2 linked regions of the Daphnia pulex genome follow. The protein of the gene in region 1 purifies or fractionates together with the protein of each later gene. This does not show direct contact. Links are inferred from orthologs where the notes say so. Each region holds a gene or a part of one and is shown on either strand. Other genes may lie near its edges. The genes, in order: probable cleavage and polyadenylation specificity factor subunit 2 and pre-mRNA 3'-end-processing factor FIP1-like.

Region 1 (4,322 bases):
ATAAATAAACCCTGAACAACATTAATGGTTATTATTTGGGAATTGAATAAATGAAAAAAAAAAAATAATCAATAACAAATTATGTGTGACCCCGTCCTTAATCCAAATATTGTTTAAGAGTTCGCCAAGTCCGCTAAAATTGTGTCATGTAAATTCGGTCCTCTTCATCTTTTCGTAACTACGTTCAATATTTTTCTTCTTGATTCAATTCTTTTGCGATTTGGAGAGAAAAAAAAAAACACCCAACCCGTTCATATTAGCCTTCATGTCTTTTTTTCCCAGTTAAAAGATGGAATAAACATTAACATTTATGTATTGATTCATAATAATTCCTCAAGAACAAAAATCGGCAAATGACTGTTGAAAGAACTTTACATTTTACTCGTGGGCCTCGTCATTTGTCAATAAAGACTCATCGCAATAAAGAATACCTCGGATGGTTAATTCAGGCAAAACGTCCTCAAGCATGAGGCATACAAGTTCAAGATTTTTAGCTTCCGGGTGACCGCCAACCAGAAGAGTTTTCAGTTTCTTCATCTTACTTAATGAAGCGATACCTTTATCTGTCACCAGTGGACAGTTTCGAATATCCAGATATTCCAACGTGTCACAAAATTCGCCGGAAATCCTGTCCAGGCACCAATCGTCAATACGGGGACACGACTCCAGGCTCAACCATTTGAGCTTCTCCATGTTTTCTAAAAGAAATGTCAAGGTTATGTGTTGGTTTACATTTTTTCATGAAACAGGATATTAATATACTCATGTTTTCCAATCCTTCATAGACAAGAGTCATTTTTGAACAGTCAACAGCTTCCATTTTATAAGATTCCAAGTAAAATCTGGGTAAATTCGGTATGATATCCGAATCAGGGTCTTCGACAATCCAGTCTTTATGGCCATAAAAGCGAACTTTGCCACCTCGAAAACAAATAAAATGACCAGTGGCTATTTCTGGGCCAAGAAACTCTGCTCTTTCTTTGACGTACAACTGTGATCTAACGAGCTTATCTTCCTTCCAATCACTCCACGCTTTTTTAACTCCATACGGCGAGAATTCGATCGCGTTAAGAACACTGATTACTTCAATTGCATAGTTCTTTTGACTGGAGAATAACTGAAAGACGGTTTTCTTGTTTTCAGCATACATTGCTTTGGGGAGTTCATATGTTACGCGATCCTCTTCTTCCTTCTTTTTCTCCACCTCTGCCTTGTCATTACCTAGTTTGGCAATTTGAGATATACCGGCCGTCGGTCTTGTGTTCGATGTACTGGTACATGATCTTCGGAAATGTTTAAGCGATAGCCTCAGTTGAGTTAAACGAGAATAAGACATTGCCATGGATTTATTTTTTCTAGTTACTGTACCGATAACACTCACTATACACACAGCTGGACTTTTTAACGAGTTTTTATTGTGAATTTTGTGAAAGAAATTGTCTGCTAGACGAGCAGCATTGCATGATACACTAATCTGGCCAATCCCATTTATTCTTTGAATAAAGATATCAGGCATCGTAGGATGAAACCAAGCAGACATTCCAATTTCGGTTATTGAGAATGCGATATGTTCCTACATGATTAATAGAGGAACACGTCAACAACAATCCAATTCAACTAATTTACTCATGATAAACAATCCGCAGTAGACAAATATGACGTCTATCATCAAGTTTTGCGCGCTTTCGGGCGCGCTTGACGATTCGCCACATTCGTACCTTCTCAAAGTTGACGATTTCACTTTCTTGCTGGACTGTGGATGGGATGAAAAGTGTTCAGAAGGATTTATACATGAACTAAAGAAGCATGTCAACAAAATTGATGCAGTGCTTCTATCCTATCCTGATCAGCTGCACTTGGGAGCTTTGCCATATGCAGTTGGAAAACTTGGACTAACATGTCCAGTGTATGCAACAGTTCCTGTTTACAAAATGGGTCAGATGTTTATGTACGATTGGTATCAATCCAAAGACAACATGTAAGTACATTGATTAATTCAAATTTCAATTCAAGATGACTGACATTTGTATCTATTCAGGGAAGACTTCGATCTATTCACTCTGGATGATGTTGACAATTCGTTTGACAAAGTTGTTCAGTTGAAATACAGCCAAAGTGTGCCTCTCAAAGGTATAACAAGTCCTAATATTTCATTCAAGTTTTTCATACTGAAATTACTACTTGTTTACAGGAAAGGGACAAGGATTGATCATCACACCCCTTCCAGCAGGGCACATGTTGGGAGGAACTGTGTGGAAAATAGTAAAAGATGGAGAAGAAGATATCATTTATGCTGTTGACTACAATCATAAAAAAGAACGCCACTTAAACGGTTGTGAGTTGGAGAAAATTCAGCGACCGTCTCTTCTCATTACCGATGCGTATAACACCCTTTACGCGCAACCCAGAAGGCGAAGTCGTGACGAAAAGCTCATGACCAACATTCTACAGACTCTTAGAGGAGGAGGAAACGTCCTTGTTGCTGTCGATACGGCTGGAAGAGTTCTCGAATTGGCTCATATGTTGGAGCAACTATGGAGAAATCAAGAATCTGGCTTGAGAGCCTACAGTTTGGCTCTTTTGAACAATGTGGCTTATAATGTCAACGAGTTCGCCAAGTCACAGATCGAATGGATGTCAGATAAATTAATGAAATCCTTTGAAGGGGCCAGGAATAATCCTTTTGGATTCAAGTATTCAATCTAGCATTTATAAAGTTTTAGAAGTAATATTAAAGCAAATTGTTCTTTAGATATTTGCAGCTGTGTCATACATTGCCAGAAGTCCTCCGTATTGCTGGCTCAAAAGTTGTTCTCTCAAGCTGCCCAGATCTGGAGTGTGGATTCGCCAGGGATTTATTTGCCTTATGGTGTTCTGATGCAAGAAACTCTATCATTCTAACCAGCCGGTCAGGACAAGGAACGCTGGGCCAGCGGCTACATGATCAGCGTAACTTGAAATCTGTCACGCTCGAGCTTAAACAACGAGTCAAACTAGAGGGTAAGCTAATTTGCTTTTGCGGACGCAACAAACAAATCTAATCTAGAACTCCATTAATTTTTTTTAAAGGTGCGGAATTGGAAGAATTCCGTAGAAAAGAACGCGAAAAAAATATTTTATCTGGGATAAAAATAAAAGATCAGATAGCGGCGGAGTCTAGTGAATCTGAAGACGAAGTCAAGAAAGGCCGACATGATATTGTTGTCCGGTCCGACGATAAAACGACAGGAGCAGTGCAACACTTTTTTAAAAGTTCCAAGAAACATCCTACCATGTTCCCATATTTTGAAGACAAAATCAAATTCGACGAGTATGGCGAAATTATCCGCCCGGAAGACTACGTCATTGCCGAGTCGGAAGATCACGAAATGGCCGATTATTCGGTTGAAAAGCCTAAATGGGAAGAAGAGGTATGATTTTTTGTCATTTTTAACTTCCAATGCATCGCTTTGAGTCTCATGATCATTTCTTTCGTTTAGCCGGAAGCAGAGTGCCCTACCAAGTGCATTTCTACCACAACGACCCTAGCAATCAATGCAAGCATCATGCATATTGATTTCGAAGGACGATCTGATGGTGAATCCATTATCAAACTGATTGAATCGATGAAACCGAAACGAACCATCGTCGTCAGGGGATCATCCGAATCCTGTCAAGCACTGCAAAATTTGTGTCTTTCAACCGGTAAAATTGATTTTAAGGCAGAAAATGAATATGCTAACCTAAATTTGTTGATATTTCTTTTATTAAGGATCATCTGATAATAAAGCATTTATAGCACGAAAAGGGGAAACAATAGATGCAACTATTGAAAGTCACATCTACCAAGTGAGGTTGAAAGACTCTTTACTTTCTTCACTTTCATTCGGTAAAGCCAAGGATGCTGAAGTCGCTTGGATTGATGCAAGGCTAACTTATCAAGTAAATCTTACAGTTAATCTTAAAATTGCTGGGGAAAAATAAGGAGTAATTGTTTTTCTTTCAACAGGCAGAGGACTTGAGGGACTTGGACGATAAAGAAAATAATTCGCTCCGTAAAGAACAAGCTCCGCTGTTAGAGCCTTTAGAACCTAAAGATGTAAATAATACTTTATACTTAAATAACGTAACAATTGAAAATAATTTTGAATGATTTAATCTGTTTTAGATTCCTGGCCACGAAACATCGTACATCAACGAACTAAAATTATCGGACTTTAAACAAGTACTTGTGCGTAATGGTATCTCGTCCGAGTTTATCGGTGGTGTTCTTTGGTGTTGTAACGGTAACGTTGCACTGCGTAGGGTAAGATCTAATATAATTAATAATTGTGATCAAATCA
Region 2 (4,456 bases), on another chromosome or scaffold:
ACATTTGTCCCTTCTTTTCTTGTGTAGCTCTCCCCTTCCTACAATCCCTTGGTTTTTGCGTCAGTTATTTCCTGATTTTGGCTTTTATTTCGACCTTTATTATTAGAATGTATCCTTGTAAACGCTGGTGTTATGTATTGAAATTACGAAATGCTGTAAAAAATATCACTAGTGCTCTTTCCTCCCCTATCCCACCCCCCTTGTAAACATGATTCATGTACAAAAAAATCGTCCCCTCCAGAATTCGCTCTTCGACATCCCACATCCGCTTCCTTCCTCAAATCCTTTTTTTCTGGAAAATCAACGCTTCTCTCTTTCAATCTCTCCATCGAAAAGACAGTTTTCCTTTTTTTTAATATTAAATTCTGTGGTTGGAAAAAAGACAACACCTCCATATGTATTTCCGTAATAGCACACACTCTTTGTGCAACCGACTTTACCCTCTTTCATTTTTGAAAAAAAATACATCCCGAATATATGCGTTGGAATCTTTTCTTTTTGAATCTTATTCGATGGGCTGAAATAAATTGTGATTAAGACGAATAACTCAGGAAAATCAACAAAAATAGGTAAATGAAAAAAGGAGTGTATTTTTTTAAATTGGGCCAATTGCGCAAAATTTAACAAAGGCAGGGAGTGAAATCCGAGTATCGAAAACTAATCAGACGAGCTTTTGCTTTTACTTCTGTCCCTCTTTGAGCGCTTGGAGGAACGCTTATGAGAAGTGGGACTCCGACTCCGACTTTTACTGCCTCGGTGACGACGTCTACGATCACTACGGTCTCTTTCTCCTCGGTCACGATCACGATCTCTTTCCCGGTCACGGCCACTTACACGCTCTTTGTCCTTATCCGAGCGTCGATCCCTGTGTAAGTTGAACGAAATATATCAATTGCATTTTCAGAAGAAGCTCGTCAACGTTTGATTTTCCTCTTACCGTTTGTCGCGATCTCGGTCTCTATCGCGGTCACGATCCCTTTCTCTGTCTTTGCCTCGATCCTTTTCCACTTCTTTTTCTTTTTCTCGGTCGTCTTTAGGGGAGCGACTGCGCGAGCTACGGCGCCTTCGACTGCTGCTGCTTATCCTATTTGCAAGGAAGAGCTAATCAAATGCTGTACGGAGATCGAGTACCACTTATATACAGTACCGAGATTCTTCTCCAGGAACAGGAGGGGTCCCCAGGCTCTCTCTTCTTTGCTTTCCCGGTGGGTTCATTCCCATTGGTAGTGGTATTCCCATAGGTGGTGGTCCTCTCCAGTCCTAAGAGGAAAAAGTTATTTTTATTTTGTTTTGTTTTCTGTTATGGTCTTTAAAATCCTTACCGAAGATCCCCACTGTGAATCCTGAGTAGGTTCGTATTGGTAATAATCATCGCCAGGAGCTCCTGGGCCAGCCATGAACTCATTGGCGTAGGGATCAGGTACTATAGGTGGTGGTGGTAACATCATTGGTGGTGGAATTACTGGTGGCGGCATACCAAATGGAGGAGGTAGAGCCATATTTGGAAAACCAGGAGGAGGACGTGAGAAATCGATCGATACGGGAGGTTTCTCCACAGGAGCTTCAGGCTGATATTAAAATGAAATTTAAATAATAAACTTTAAAGTTTTTTGGTTGACTTTGGATGAATATTTTATTAAGGATACGGGGCCTTACCACTTCGGGAGGTTGCTCCTCCATAGAAGGAGCAGGTGAAACGCCTGATTCTGGTCGGCGTGAAGATAGATTCCCTCCACCAATGACATCAATGGCACCAGCCATTTTGCGTGCTGGCGGAGGGCCTGCTTTTTTCACAACCACTGACCCCGCATATTTTGAATTTTCGTTAACCACTGATATCGGAATCGCTTGGGCCGGGGTCGCCATCATCTGAATCAAAAAATAATAATATCGTCTTTGAGCTTCATTTGTTTACGTATTTTATTACCTTGGGTGGGGGTCCTAATCCAAGGCTAGCCGGAACACCAGCCCCAGACTCCATACGGGATCGCCTTTGTCTCTCACAATATGCTTGCCACGTTATTTCATTGAAACCGTAATTAAAATAATCAGTGATATCAGCACCAGGCTTCCTCCAAGGTTTATCTTCCAGCGAATCCAAACTAAATTCATGTGCTGGTACACCGTTAATCGCCATTGAGCCTTCGAACTCTTCCACAGTGAACTTAAGATAAGATACATATGTTAAAAACAAACTCTTGCATCAAACATGATGTAGCTCAATGTATACTTTGCTCTTTTCCCCCAATCCTTGTGCCGTTGTTCCAGCTGTTCCTCTTTTGACATTAAAACCAGCATAAGCTGCTGGGCCAGATTTTATGTCACCAATCGTGATTTGTACGTCATCATCACTTTCATCATCCTCATCGTCATCATTGTCTTGATCTTCATCTTGTCTCTCATCCTTTTCTTCGTTAGTCTCTGCAGCTTCTTCTGGATCTTTTACAATAGAAAATACAGGATGTTAAAACTGTTATGGGAAAACCAGACAAGCGATTCAACACAGGGAAAGAGACAAGGGATAATAGTTGAAGAACTTTTCCATAATTAAAAATGTACATGAAATTACCATAGCCTTCTCCAGCGTATTCCGTATTTCCGTCATTTCTGTCTATGGCAATATGATCTTCATTTTCGATTTCGTACATTTCTCCATTACCGGTGGTGTCTTGGTCGATTTTTCCATCATCGCCCTGAAAAAAAAAGAGACAAGTATCAATTTCAGTTGACGAACAATAATTTTTTTTTTAAACTCACGTATTCATCTGGTAACTGTTCCGAGGAATAAGGGAATTGTGAATTAGAATTATCTGCCTCATCTGGGTGCCGGACAGTGTCGGCCATATTCGGTTGTAAACAGCAGAAGACCCCACTTCAATTTAGGCCTGAGGGGACAAACAACAGCGAATGTACGCTTGTGGCTTGTCGGCTGTCGCTGTTTCACATCAAACGCAAAAATAAGGTATTTTTACTATAAAAACTTGTGATAATCCATTTTTATAATGATCTCGTTATATAAAAAGACGCTATTAGGGACAAAATTCAACTTTAATTTGGGTTAGACGTAAGTGTGCAACTTGGCAACACTTCACCCGGCAGACGTGCATTTACGTTTGGTTCGTAAATTTATTTGTTAAATTTTATTTGAGCCGAGTGGCTGCGAGAAAATTCATAAACAAAATGGATAAAAGTATAGGGAAGAAAACTGGAGACATTGTTTTGGTAATAATACATTGTTTTATATTGAAGTTGACTAATAGGTTTTAACAATATGTCTTCTGTCTTTAAAGTGTGAAGAAGATTTAGCGTATGAAGAGGAGATTCTACGGAACCCTTACTCTGTCAAACATTGGCTTCGCTATTGCGAGTTCAAAAAGGATGCCCCTCCTGTTGTTGTCAATTTGATTTATGAGAGAGCTTTGAAGGAAATGCCTGGCAGGTTCGTTTGATTGGTTCTTGTAGTAGTACATAGTAAATAAGTTTGTACTCATTTTCAACTATCCACATGTTTGTCTCTTCACAGTTACAAACTATGGTACAGTTATCTCTGCCTAAGAAGGAAGCAAACTAAAGGTCGCTGTATAACAGATCCACTGTATGAAGATGCCAACAATACTTTTGAAAGAGCATTGGTATTCATGCACAAGGTATCTTAAATGCCAATTATATTATTATCACACATTATTAAATACCATGTTTTTAATGAATACCATAGATGCCAAGGATTTGGATGGACTATTGCAAGTTTCTGACTCTTCAACAGAAGATTACCACTACGAGAAAGGTCTTTGACCGTGCTCTAAGAGCCTTGCCAATCACCCAGCATTCCAGAATTTGGCCCCTCTACTTGAAGTTTGTTAAAATGCATCCAATACCAGAAACAGCTGTTCGAGTTTTCCGTCGTTTTCTTAAACTATCGACCGAAGATGCAGAGGAATTTGTCGATTACTTAAAATCTATTGACAGACTTGATGAGGCAGCTGTTAAACTTGCCCAGATTGTGAACAAGGACAGCTTTGTTTCGAAGACAGGAAAATCAAACCACCAACTGTGGAATGAACTGTGCGAACTTAATTCGAAAAATCCCAAGCAAATTAAAAGTCTTAACGTGGATGCAATCATTCGAGGAGGTCTTCGACGGTGAGTGTCTGGAAAAAAATTAAATGCAAATATTTTTACAAACATAGGAATAATTTACTGGATTCTTATGTAGGTACACTGATCAACTTGGCCAGCTTTGGAATTCCCTTGCCGATTACTATATTAGAAGTGGTTTGTTTGAAAGAGCAAGAGATATTTACGAAGAAGCCATTCAGACAGTTACTACAGTACGAGACTTCACACAGGTAAAATACTTTGTGGTCGTCTTATTTAATGCGAATCAAGTTAACGTTTTTCTGATTTACGACAGGTGTTTGATGCCTATGCCCAGTTTGAAGAGTTGAATTTGAATCAT

Evidence for each region.
Region 2: the proteins of probable cleavage and polyadenylation specificity factor subunit 2 (region 1) and pre-mRNA 3'-end-processing factor FIP1-like purify together in Homo sapiens (affinity purification with mass spectrometry; 7 studies listed by BioGRID and IntAct, with this or other methods). This does not show direct contact. The link is inferred for Daphnia pulex from reciprocal best matches to the Homo sapiens genes CPSF2 and FIP1L1.

The regions. Positions count from the first base shown.
Region 1 is NC_060028.1:937,497-941,818, reverse strand, and holds the start of probable cleavage and polyadenylation specificity factor subunit 2, read left to right. Parts: upstream 1-1,519; 5' UTR 1,520-1,655; coding exon 1,656-1,978; intron 1,979-2,038; coding exon 2,039-2,130; intron 2,131-2,191; coding exon 2,192-2,693; intron 2,694-2,752; coding exon 2,753-3,000; intron 3,001-3,069; coding exon 3,070-3,410; intron 3,411-3,479; coding exon 3,480-3,684; intron 3,685-3,751; coding exon 3,752-3,921; intron 3,922-3,988; coding exon 3,989-4,078; intron 4,079-4,147; coding exon 4,148-4,285; intron 4,286-4,322. Other genes in the region: distal membrane-arm assembly complex protein 2-like, read right to left, coding at 379-698, 763-1,342. UniProt on the Homo sapiens protein: Component of the cleavage and polyadenylation specificity factor (CPSF) complex that play a key role in pre-mRNA 3'-end formation, recognizing the AAUAAA signal sequence and interacting with poly(A) polymerase and other factors to bring about cleavage and poly(A) addition.
Region 2 is NC_060020.1:2,901,549-2,906,004, forward strand, and holds pre-mRNA 3'-end-processing factor FIP1-like, read right to left. Parts: upstream 2,918-4,456; 5' UTR 2,845-2,917; coding exon 2,758-2,844; intron 2,694-2,757; coding exon 2,570-2,693; intron 2,440-2,569; coding exon 2,231-2,439; intron 2,165-2,230; coding exon 1,928-2,164; intron 1,870-1,927; coding exon 1,657-1,869; intron 1,569-1,656; coding exon 1,323-1,568; intron 1,261-1,322; coding exon 1,148-1,260; intron 1,085-1,147; coding exon 938-1,084; intron 866-937; coding exon 658-865; 3' UTR 571-657; downstream 1-570. Other genes in the region: pre-mRNA-splicing factor syf1 homolog, read left to right, coding at 3,181-3,222, 3,291-3,439, 3,524-3,647, 3,716-4,140, 4,214-4,346, 4,412-4,456.